Linked DNA regions of Schizosaccharomyces pombe. The protein of the gene in region 2 interacts with the protein of the main gene of each other region in a pairwise test. Each region holds a gene or a part of one and is shown on either strand. Other genes may lie near its edges.

Region 1 (6,274 bases), 3.2 Mb from region 2:
TGTATTCATTTTCCAAATTATTGCATTAATGTGTTAGCTCTTTCATGCTAAAGACTACTACCTAAACTCGTTGATTTCAACTTGCAGAAAACAATATTACAATACACTTGAAAGTATAGTCAGCGGAGAATAGAACAAATGGAGTAAATTATTATAACAATCCAAAAATATGTTACATTGCTGTTAAGATTCAGAAAAGCTTAGGATGTTTAGAGTAGTAGTGTAGATTAACTGTTTATCAATATTATACTAAAACATCTCATTATGGTTCAAGTTCGCTATTGTTGAATTTTACAAAAAGTCTAGTCCCGCCGGGGATCGAACCCGGGACCTTCTCCGTGTGAAGGAGAAATCATACCACTAGAACACGGGACTGTTGGTTGTTAACAGAAAAACTAAATGATATATATCATAATTACATTATTATTGATTTAAATAGATTAAATAATGAATAGCGAAGTTATTTGAGCTGAAAATTAAGTGTAAGTTTTTTATATATGTGCTGTAATGAACAATTAAAATTTCAGCCTAATCATATAGTTTTAAAAGTCAAGCAATGACTTTTTGCGAATGAACTAATTAACCATGGATACTGCTTTTTACAAGCAACTCCATTTTCCGTTTTAAATAGTTGTATACAAATGTTTTTTCCCCCGAAAAATTGTAAAAATATATTAATGAATTGACAATTTCCAAATGAGTTTGCACTCGGGCAGTTTAAATATATTTAATATATTAACTATCTACATACCATATAAATCCGGTAGTATTATTTTTTCTCAATATCTGCTTTTTCGATGCGTATTAATATCATAAAAAATGCTCCACATAGGATTTCATTAAAAACATATATGTTAACTCTAAATTTAACGGTAAATCGCTAAGGACTGAATATTATTTTCCAGCTCTTAACGAATATAACACCGCAGACGGACTTGGCCAATACCAAAACTAACGCAAAACAAAAGACCAATAAGAATCATGTGAAGTATTTTACCCTAAACTCATAGTATACAATGTCATGCTTGTAAGTAATAGACAGCTAAACGGGATAATATCTAATTTGTTTACCATAAATAAATATGCCGCACGACAAACATGCCAATCAAGTTTATGTTTGAAGAGCTCCAGATGCAACAACAGCAGGGGTTGAGGATTTAATATGTTCAGAAGCCATATTTTCATTGTCAGAGGACCTCAGCCATTCATCTATTTGTTGAATGTGCTGATTTAAATTGTGCAACTCCTGAATCATTAAATCATGCTGAGAACGCAATTGCGAAAGAACATTCAAAGCATAATTGCGTTTATCTACATTTGATCCCTGAACTTCAGGAGGAAACTGCAAAGAAACCGGCGAGGTAGAGGATTGGATTAAAGGAGCTTGCTGAGATTGCGAAGGTGAAACTTCTGATTTCGGTCCATTTGACATTGATGGCTGCTTGTCGGAATTTGAGGGTGGCTCTTCGGGGTTAAGTAAGGAAGCAATTCCTTCAGCAATCCTTGGCTTTGCAGAAGTTCGAGGAGGCAAACAGACTGACTCGCCAACAGGAAGGATAGGAGGTAAATGAAACTTCATGCCTAAGGGGTTGGATTGGTTGGCAGTTGCAACGCCATTATTATCCGTGTTCGATGTTGTAGATTCCGATAATTGCTTACTAGAATCATTGCCAACTGCTACAAGCTGACCAGGGTATACTACTTGATTAGCTCGTATACCATTGGGAACATACTCATTTTGGTAAGGAGGCAATCCTTCATGCTTGTTCTCAGGAAGAGGCAATATTGATTGTTCCTGAGTAGGACCATATGAGTAATAAACTTTCCCATTATTATCAGGTTCACCAGCCGCTAACCGTGACAATGTCATCAATGGTGAAGGATTGAACGAAGAAGGCAAGAACCCGGTAAAATTGCTGTTGTATGAAGGAAATGTACTAGCCGGAGGTAATACTCCAGTATTCATTCCATGCTCAGCCAGACCTTCACCAGAATTTCCAGAAGCATGGCCATTACCATTGGGAAAAGATTTAGAAAAAGGACCATCCCTTGTAGACTGTTGCTTAACGGAAGATCCGGAATCCCCACTTGACATTCTTTTTAAGTTGTGTTGCGACTCATTCGCATTACCGTTAAAAACCAGCCTTTTTCGACGTTTAATGATTGCCTTCTTCATGGTAACGGGACGATGTACCCCATGAATTTTGTAATACAAACCACAAGCATTACAGATCGGATTACCCGACTCGTCGCGGCGCCACAAAGGAGTATTTGTGGTAGCACAGTTTTGGCAAAAAGTAACACTTGGTTCATGAGGAGGAGATGAGTCTTCATGCTGGTTATGACTAGAACGTCGTCTACTAGTGCCATTGCTAGTTTCAGTCGTGGTATCTGAAACGATTTGAGGTTTCGATTCTAGAGGTGTAGGCGAAGCTTTGGTTTCAGTGCTAGAGGGTACACTGCTAGGATTGGGAGATAGACTTTTGCGTCCGCTCTGAGACTTAGAAGCATTGAGACTTCTTATACGATTATTTAAAGCAGGACAACCAGTACATGAAGCACTGCCACCCGTACCGTTACAGAATCCATCTCCAGCACAGGTTCCGTTTTTACAAACTTGCTGTATCAGTGGAGAAATGTCTTTTAAATCTTCAGATTTGACAGGACGGGCATGCTTGCGATGTTTTTGATATAAGCCACAAGCATTGCACAAAAGGGAATTATCGGGGCCACGACGCCATAAAGAAGTAGTAGTTTTGTGGCAGTTGGAACAACTTTGGCCAAAAGGAGCAGGTTTCGCAGCCATTTTTTTGGTGATATGTAAAAAAGTTAATTACGAACGAATCAAAGTAAATGCTAGCTTTAAGTGAGTTGTACTGAACGAAATGATCCAAGCTTATTCACAATGGAAAATAAAAAAAAACAAGAAAACGATTGTATCGATATGTACAAATTGCAAAATTGATTGAACCCAGATGAGAACCGATGGATTGGATTCAAAAAATTTTGAGATTTCCGTAATGGATTGACAAGAAATTATAAATAATAAATTATTCTTCCTTGATAAAAAAAAAACAACAAAAATATGTGTAAAATATTAAAATGGAGAGAAAGGAATGCGCACGTTCCAATTATGATAAATATAAAAAGGGAATAAAGGAGTCAGAGAGAGATGCAAAAAAGCATAAATCTCCAAAAGTGAATTCAAAAATCACTATTAACAGAGAATATGTTAAAAGGTGACAGAACTTCGTGAATGATTTATTTTCCGGAATTTTAACGGAAACACAACAAGCATAGGACAAAAAAAGGAAAGAAATAGGAAAGGTAATACTGTTCAGTAAAACCAACAAAAAATAAAAGCCTTAAAGTACCAAGGCACCAAATTTCAAAGGTAGTACGAGAGATACTACGGATGGGATAATAAGAACAAAAATAAGAACGTGAAAGTTTTAACAGAGTGTTAAAGGAAACTTTTCAACAAAGTTAAAAAGTTAAAGATACAATAAATAGAAAACCGACTCGCAGAAAACAAAGAGCCTATCCTATGAAAAGGAATGGCAAAGCAAAAAATGTAAAAAAAAAAAAGAGTAAAGAAACCTTGGAGAATTCGAACAGTTTCCAATGGTGGTTAAATAAACCAAGATGCAACCTATGAATTGAGCGGAGAAATAGATACCAAAAAGTCAATTATCATAAAGCAAATTCAAAGAAGTGAAGAAGCTTTTTGATGGAGAATATTCACCAAATCCAGTAAGATGAGAGTGAACTAATGAAAAGAGTCTTTATCACACCAACAGATCAAAAGAACTGAGATGAAAAGTAAAAAAATCGTGATGAGAGCAAAAAATCTTTATTAGAAGAAGATCCTTGCAAATAACTCATACGGCGATAGTAGTTGTGAAAAAGATAAGTCAAAAACTAACTTTGCGTAGAAAAGAGAAGGAAAAAACGAGAAATAAATGAATTTTCAAGGCAAAGTCGCTCAGACTCCGAGAAAAAGGAAGAGCACTTAAACTTTATCGACAACAGTACTATTAAATAGTAAAAGATAACGATCAAAAACAATACAAGTAACTTTATCTATAAGCTGTCTTTTAATACTTGTAGAAGAAGAATGGTTGTGGGCAAATTTTGTTTATGCAGATATGTGTGAGCTTAGATAGGGAAGGAGATCGGGTAATTATATTGAAAATCCAATTGCGGTGGTGGTGGTTCAGGTAATATGGCCCAATCAGCAGAAATGAAATTATCAAGTAACGAAGGGGTAACAATCAGGCACCGAAAAAGCGAGACCAAAAGGGAGGCAGTTTTACAAAGAGCGCGGAAGACTGCGTTAAAACGATGGACTGAACAGTCAACCAGTCCAGCAGAACGAGCCTTAGGTGCAATAAGTAGAGTATTTTCTTCTAGGAAGAAAAGGATAACCGGATTCGAAATAAATGATAAAACTACGATAAGGTAAATTTATGTAGTAAAACAACCGGTATTTGTGTTATGGCGAAGAACCCGGCAAGAGTGTAACTATGGACTTGGAGCAAGACAAAAGAGACTTAACAAATGTAAGTGGTTTCTCAGTTTTACGTAAACAAAAGCTGATGGCCAAAATCGACAAATTTTTGCGGCCTCAGGGTTAAAAAAAGAAAGATGTGATTATGGTTGCCTGAAGCGGATAAAAAGATTAATCCAACTTGCAGAAAAAGGATGACCAAATTTAATGAAACTAGATTTTGGTGTGACCAAAAAAAAAAAAAAAAAAAGAACTTCCCAGATATCTAAATATATAATTATATCTATATAAGGGTATATGAGCAACACTATAAACGGTGTAAGTGTTCAATTTTGTAAGAAATAATCGACGATAGATAGGGGATAAGAACCAACACGGTAAATGACAATCAAGGATCAAACGAGAGCAATTAGGATATTAAATAGTGCTAAACCAAAACGAACAAAAAGGAGAATTGATTGCAGAGAAAGCGTTTAGAAGAGCGTTAAAACGGATGTTCAAGGAAGAGAAACTATCAACAGTGGTGGGCGAGCGGGTTGCAATGGTTTTACCAACTTTTACTATTTAGTGATGGTGAGGGAGATTGAATTGCCTGTTGTAGTTGCTGAATGCTTTTGTTTGATGTTGAGAGAATATGTTTGGAAAAGAGATAATCATATATTCAGTTCAGCAATACCAACTTTATCAAAATATATTTCCACTTTAATTTTTATACTCCATGCAGATAAAGTAGCTGAGATTTGTAAAAATCGTAAATCACTGAGCTCGAGTCTCGACAAGATGGTGTAGATCGATTTTGGCCAATTACATAAAGAACGATAATGATTTCAAAACCACGTGCGATAAAGCCTATATTTATCGACGGAGATATGAAATGAATTTTTCTCGGCAAATAGCAATGTGATGGATAGATTGCAAGAGGAAAGGAGAAAATGGGGGTGAGCGTTTATCGACCTGGTTAGGTTGCTGGATACCAAAGGAAAACCCACGCATCTTAGCTATTGAAATTCCTCGGAAATATGGAAATCATCTTATAGAGGAGAAAGAGTAGATGGGAAAATAAAATATAGAAAAAAATAAAAAACAGTATGCAAAAAACCATGTATGAAGCGGTGAGAATGGAAAATGTATTAGTAAGAGCATTAAAAAACCGAATATACAAAAATTTTGTGTTTTCTTAAACATCGTACTGTTTTTTTAAATAAATGGATTTTTGATAATGGATCTTATTTAATATTTCAACGTATGCTTTGGTTGTTTTGAAATTAGGTAGAGTTCATTACATATGGCTTATTAACTTAACTTGTAAAGACTGTTCTTTTCATATCTGAATTTGATATTCCCATATTGTTCACGAACTAGTCTCATGGATATAGTCTTTACTGATGTCTATTGATTGTACGTAGAATATCATGGTATGAACTTATTTACTTTTTTGAGTCGAGTTAACTTTACCTTATTTCATTGAATGTAATTTATTATTTATTTTATTTAGTTTTATTGATTTCATTTGTTTTTATATTTTTAAAGTATTATTTCATTCATCTGTCGCATATTTTTTATTATTTTATTTTATCGATTTTTTAGTTTCAATTTTTTATTTCTAGCCTACGCATTGGTTGACACTTAATCAATTAATTCATTAATTAAATTCAGTTAATTAGAAAATAAATATAGAATTTAAGTTTCTTTCTCACGATGAATTCTACTACATTGCTGACCAAAAACAATTTCAAATATACGCGCAATAATAATATTTTTTTT
Region 2 (3,476 bases):
AAAGAGAAACGGATGTAGTATTGGAAGAGATATCGATCATATTTATGGTACGAAAGTTTAGAATAGTCTTGAAAAGTTGTTCATTATATTATGTATTAAAAAAATCATTTATACAGTCTTCATTTTCTTGTTAATGAGTTTGTCATTGATATTATCACAGTCGTTTATGCAAAGAAATACTCAAGTTAGAGTGTTATTATTATTTGCTTAGTATAGAACAACTCTTTGATTCTTCAAATTTACAGTTTCGAGTTGATTTTTGAAGTAATCGTAGTTTAACAAGAAGAGCAATTACCTTTCGAGTGATGGAATTATGTGAAAGAAGTATTGAAACATTAGTATGAGATAAAATTATCAAAACTTTTAGGTTAAGAAAACACAATTTGGTGACAAGGGCTAGGTATGCATATTATTTATAATAAATCCTTGATAGATCCCCTTACTCGTATAAACAAAGGAGATCGAACAGTCAAAAATCTTAGCAGCATCTTATACAATTTATGTAGTGCTCTCTAAAAATTTGCCAAAACATCCTATGTATTAGGAACTTTAAAGCAAAAGGTATATATGGTTATAATAAACCATATCTTTTCTCTGGGGCAATTTGACATGCTTCAAAAAAAAAAAAAAAAAAAGAAGGTATTAGTATGTACCTTCTGTAAGGGAATAAGGGGTGCTACAACTATTTTAAAGAAAGTAATTTGTACATTAAAAGTATGCCAATTGCTTTGAAGAGCTGTCACGAAAATAGAAAGGAAGTAAAAGAGAAAGCATTAGAATATGTGGTATTATTTTGCTTGAAGAGCTTCCCATTGTGCCGGACTATAACATTTCTGCATTTAAAGTTAGTAACTGATTAAGAATAGTTGAAAGCATTTTTTTTTTTCAGATTCCTTCTTCTTTTTTCTATCTTATATGCCTGAAACTTAGAGTACGAACCTGAGTAAAGGCATGGATATCCTTGATCACCTCTTGAAGTTTGTGATTCACAAGACGGTGACGAGCTAGCGTGCTTTTCCCTTCAAACAGAGGGGAAACAATGATTACTTCGAAGTTCTGGCCACATCCTCCAGACATATCTTGGATCTCCTATATAAGTATCAGTAAAATGGTTTGCTTAAAGTAATGTGAAACCAAAAAATAAAAATAAAAATTTTGCTCAACGTACAATGTGGGTAGGTTCTAATGTATTTTGTATCAAAAGCTCAAGTTGTTGTGCATTTACCATGTTTTATAAACGTTGTCGATTGAAGTTATGTTATGGTTCTTTTCAAGATGTGTATTCGCTTTCAACCAACTAGGTGTTCTCCTGTCAAAATCTCTAAAACCCTTAAAAAGATGACAGAAGTCGAAGTAAGACATAGACATTAAGTATTATATATTAATTGAGTATATTAGGAAAGGATTAATGCTTGGAATGACGGGTTCGAAGAGCTTTTAAGTTATATCCCTGCAAAGCTCTACTATCGCGAGCATACAGCGGTATGTGAGATATTTGGAATAATTATGTTTAACTGTTCAATTTAGAATCAATGGAAACAGAAAAAATCTACGCTAGAGGAGAAGAAAGAACGCCGAAAAATGAAATTTAGCTTGGATGGTCTTGTTAACGATGCGGACGATGATAGTCAAAAATCTTCAAAGTGGGAACAGTCTTCGACTATGAGTGATGATACAGATGTTTCAGATCGTCATGCTGAAAGCATGTCACAGATCAGAGGTAAACTAGCATCAAAGATTCAGGATTTGCGTGAGAAGAGGAAAGCCGGTGACTTGAATCAAAAACGACAAAATAAGCGTCCTGTCGAGAATGAAAAGGATTCTCAAAAGGGATCAGGAAAAAGCAAGGTTCAAAAGAAGAAACACAAGGCATCTCCTCGTGCTGGTTTCTAAGCTTTGTTGCCTTAAAGAGTAAATTCATCAAAAGAGGCAAACCCTGACAAAAAACTAAAACGTTAATACAAAGGTTCTGGATAATAGAGGATTAAAAAAGTACTATTTTTTTGAGAAAATTATTTCTTTTGTCTTTCGCAAGTTGGTTAAAAAATTCAAGGATGGACGGATACGGTTGGGAGCGGGCTTTTATTTTATTGCAGTTCGATTTAGTATAATTCTTATTTAAATATTCTTTGGTCTTATTTTTTGTATCGTCCTACCATTGTTAACGTTAGTTTTGAGGCATCAAGGCAGCATACCTCACAGGTTTCCAATGCACGCATTGATGATTTCCTGCAAAAATGATTTTAAAGGACAAACGCGTAATATTATAGCCTTCTACTTATCTTTATAAGTGTAAATGTATGTTTCAGATTTTATTTCGCTTCTGCTGTTTATTTTTCCTTCACTAAGCAGTTTAACATATGAAAAGTTGGATTGCTTATTTAGTAAATCTTGTAACGTTTGATGAAGTGGATCGTCAAATGTATTCTTAGAGTTTACAAGAGCAACGCCTTGAGACGTCCCATGGTTTTTTGTTTGTATATGAAAGTTTTTGTTTTAGTATAAGAAGATACAAGCAAAATGAATTGAGCAGACAATTTGTTTCTAGTATTATCATTAGTGCTTCAATAGATGCTCTGTAGTCATACTCAATGTACTTACTATAGTATTTTAGTGTGTATGAGTTTATATATACTACTAGTATCATTTGACTTGACTCATCAGTAGTGCATCCTCAGTTTACTACGACTGCATGCACCGTCTATCATTTCAATATCGCATTATATCTCTTTCCTTTCCGCTGTTTATTCTTTTAATGTTTTTCATTAGGCAAGCTATTAATTATTAATTGATTTTAATTGTCAATACTGCTCACCTTGCTAACATAACCCGTCGTTTGTCATCATCAATAAAACCCTTACTACGGCAACCTCTGAGTATTAGATAGTTCTGTTTTTGTTTTTTATTTTTTTAATCTTTTTTTTATTGTTGATTTTTTATATCTCGCGCGGTCGTTTTGTTTTCCAATTTTAAACTTATCTGTCCAAATAATCAAACTTGTGATGCTATGGAGAATCCTAACTTGCTGCAAGAGCCCCGAAGAAGATAAGGATGAGCATAAGAAGAAACCTCCTAATGTAGGACATGCGCATTTAAGCGTTGTTTCACCATTGAACGAGCTAGCAAGTGAAAAATCAAGATCTAGCTTATGCATAGAGTGGACAATAGATTCTTTGCGACAGTTTGTACAGCAACTTTCAGTTAGACAGAATATGTCAAAAGATCGTCGAGAAGCTTTAACGTATTTTATTAACTCCTACAATGATTTATTTCATGATGTATACTATGGTGATGGTCGATCCATGTCGAAGACGGAGGAAGCACAGACCATAGTGACATTTACCATTGGTTCTTACTTGTACAAATACACCCATCCATCAGAACTGTTTTGGCAAAGGCTTAGTGACAATATGGCAAATATAGAAGATGATGGTACGTGTACGGAGGCTCAACTAGCTTTTCGAAAAAGGGCAGCT

The links.
Region 1: the proteins of fra2 (region 2) and fep1 interact in a protein complementation assay, tested with the Schizosaccharomyces pombe proteins (one study listed by BioGRID).

The regions. Positions count from the first base shown.
Region 1 is NC_003424.3:440,101-446,374, reverse strand, and holds fep1 (Fe-sensing transcription factor Fep1), read right to left. Parts: upstream 4,155-6,274; 5' UTR 2,807-4,154; coding exon 1,112-2,806; 3' UTR 654-1,111; downstream 1-653. UniProt on the Schizosaccharomyces pombe protein: Transcriptional repressor that binds the consensus promoter sequence 5'-[AT]GATAA-3' during iron-replete conditions to down-regulate transcription of target genes. Represses the expression of the iron transporter fio1 in response to high iron concentrations.
Region 2 is NC_003424.3:3,656,884-3,660,359, reverse strand, and holds fra2 (iron-sensor Fra2), read right to left. Parts: upstream 1,272-3,476; 5' UTR 1,229-1,271; coding exon 1,169-1,228; intron 1,090-1,168; coding exon 940-1,089; exon of another isoform or gene 834-939; coding exon 789-833; 3' UTR 536-788; downstream 1-535. Other genes in the region: rrp14 (ribosome biogenesis protein Rrp14-N), read left to right, coding at 1,339-1,353, 1,399-1,482, 1,528-1,893; protein mug129, read left to right, coding at 3,003-3,476.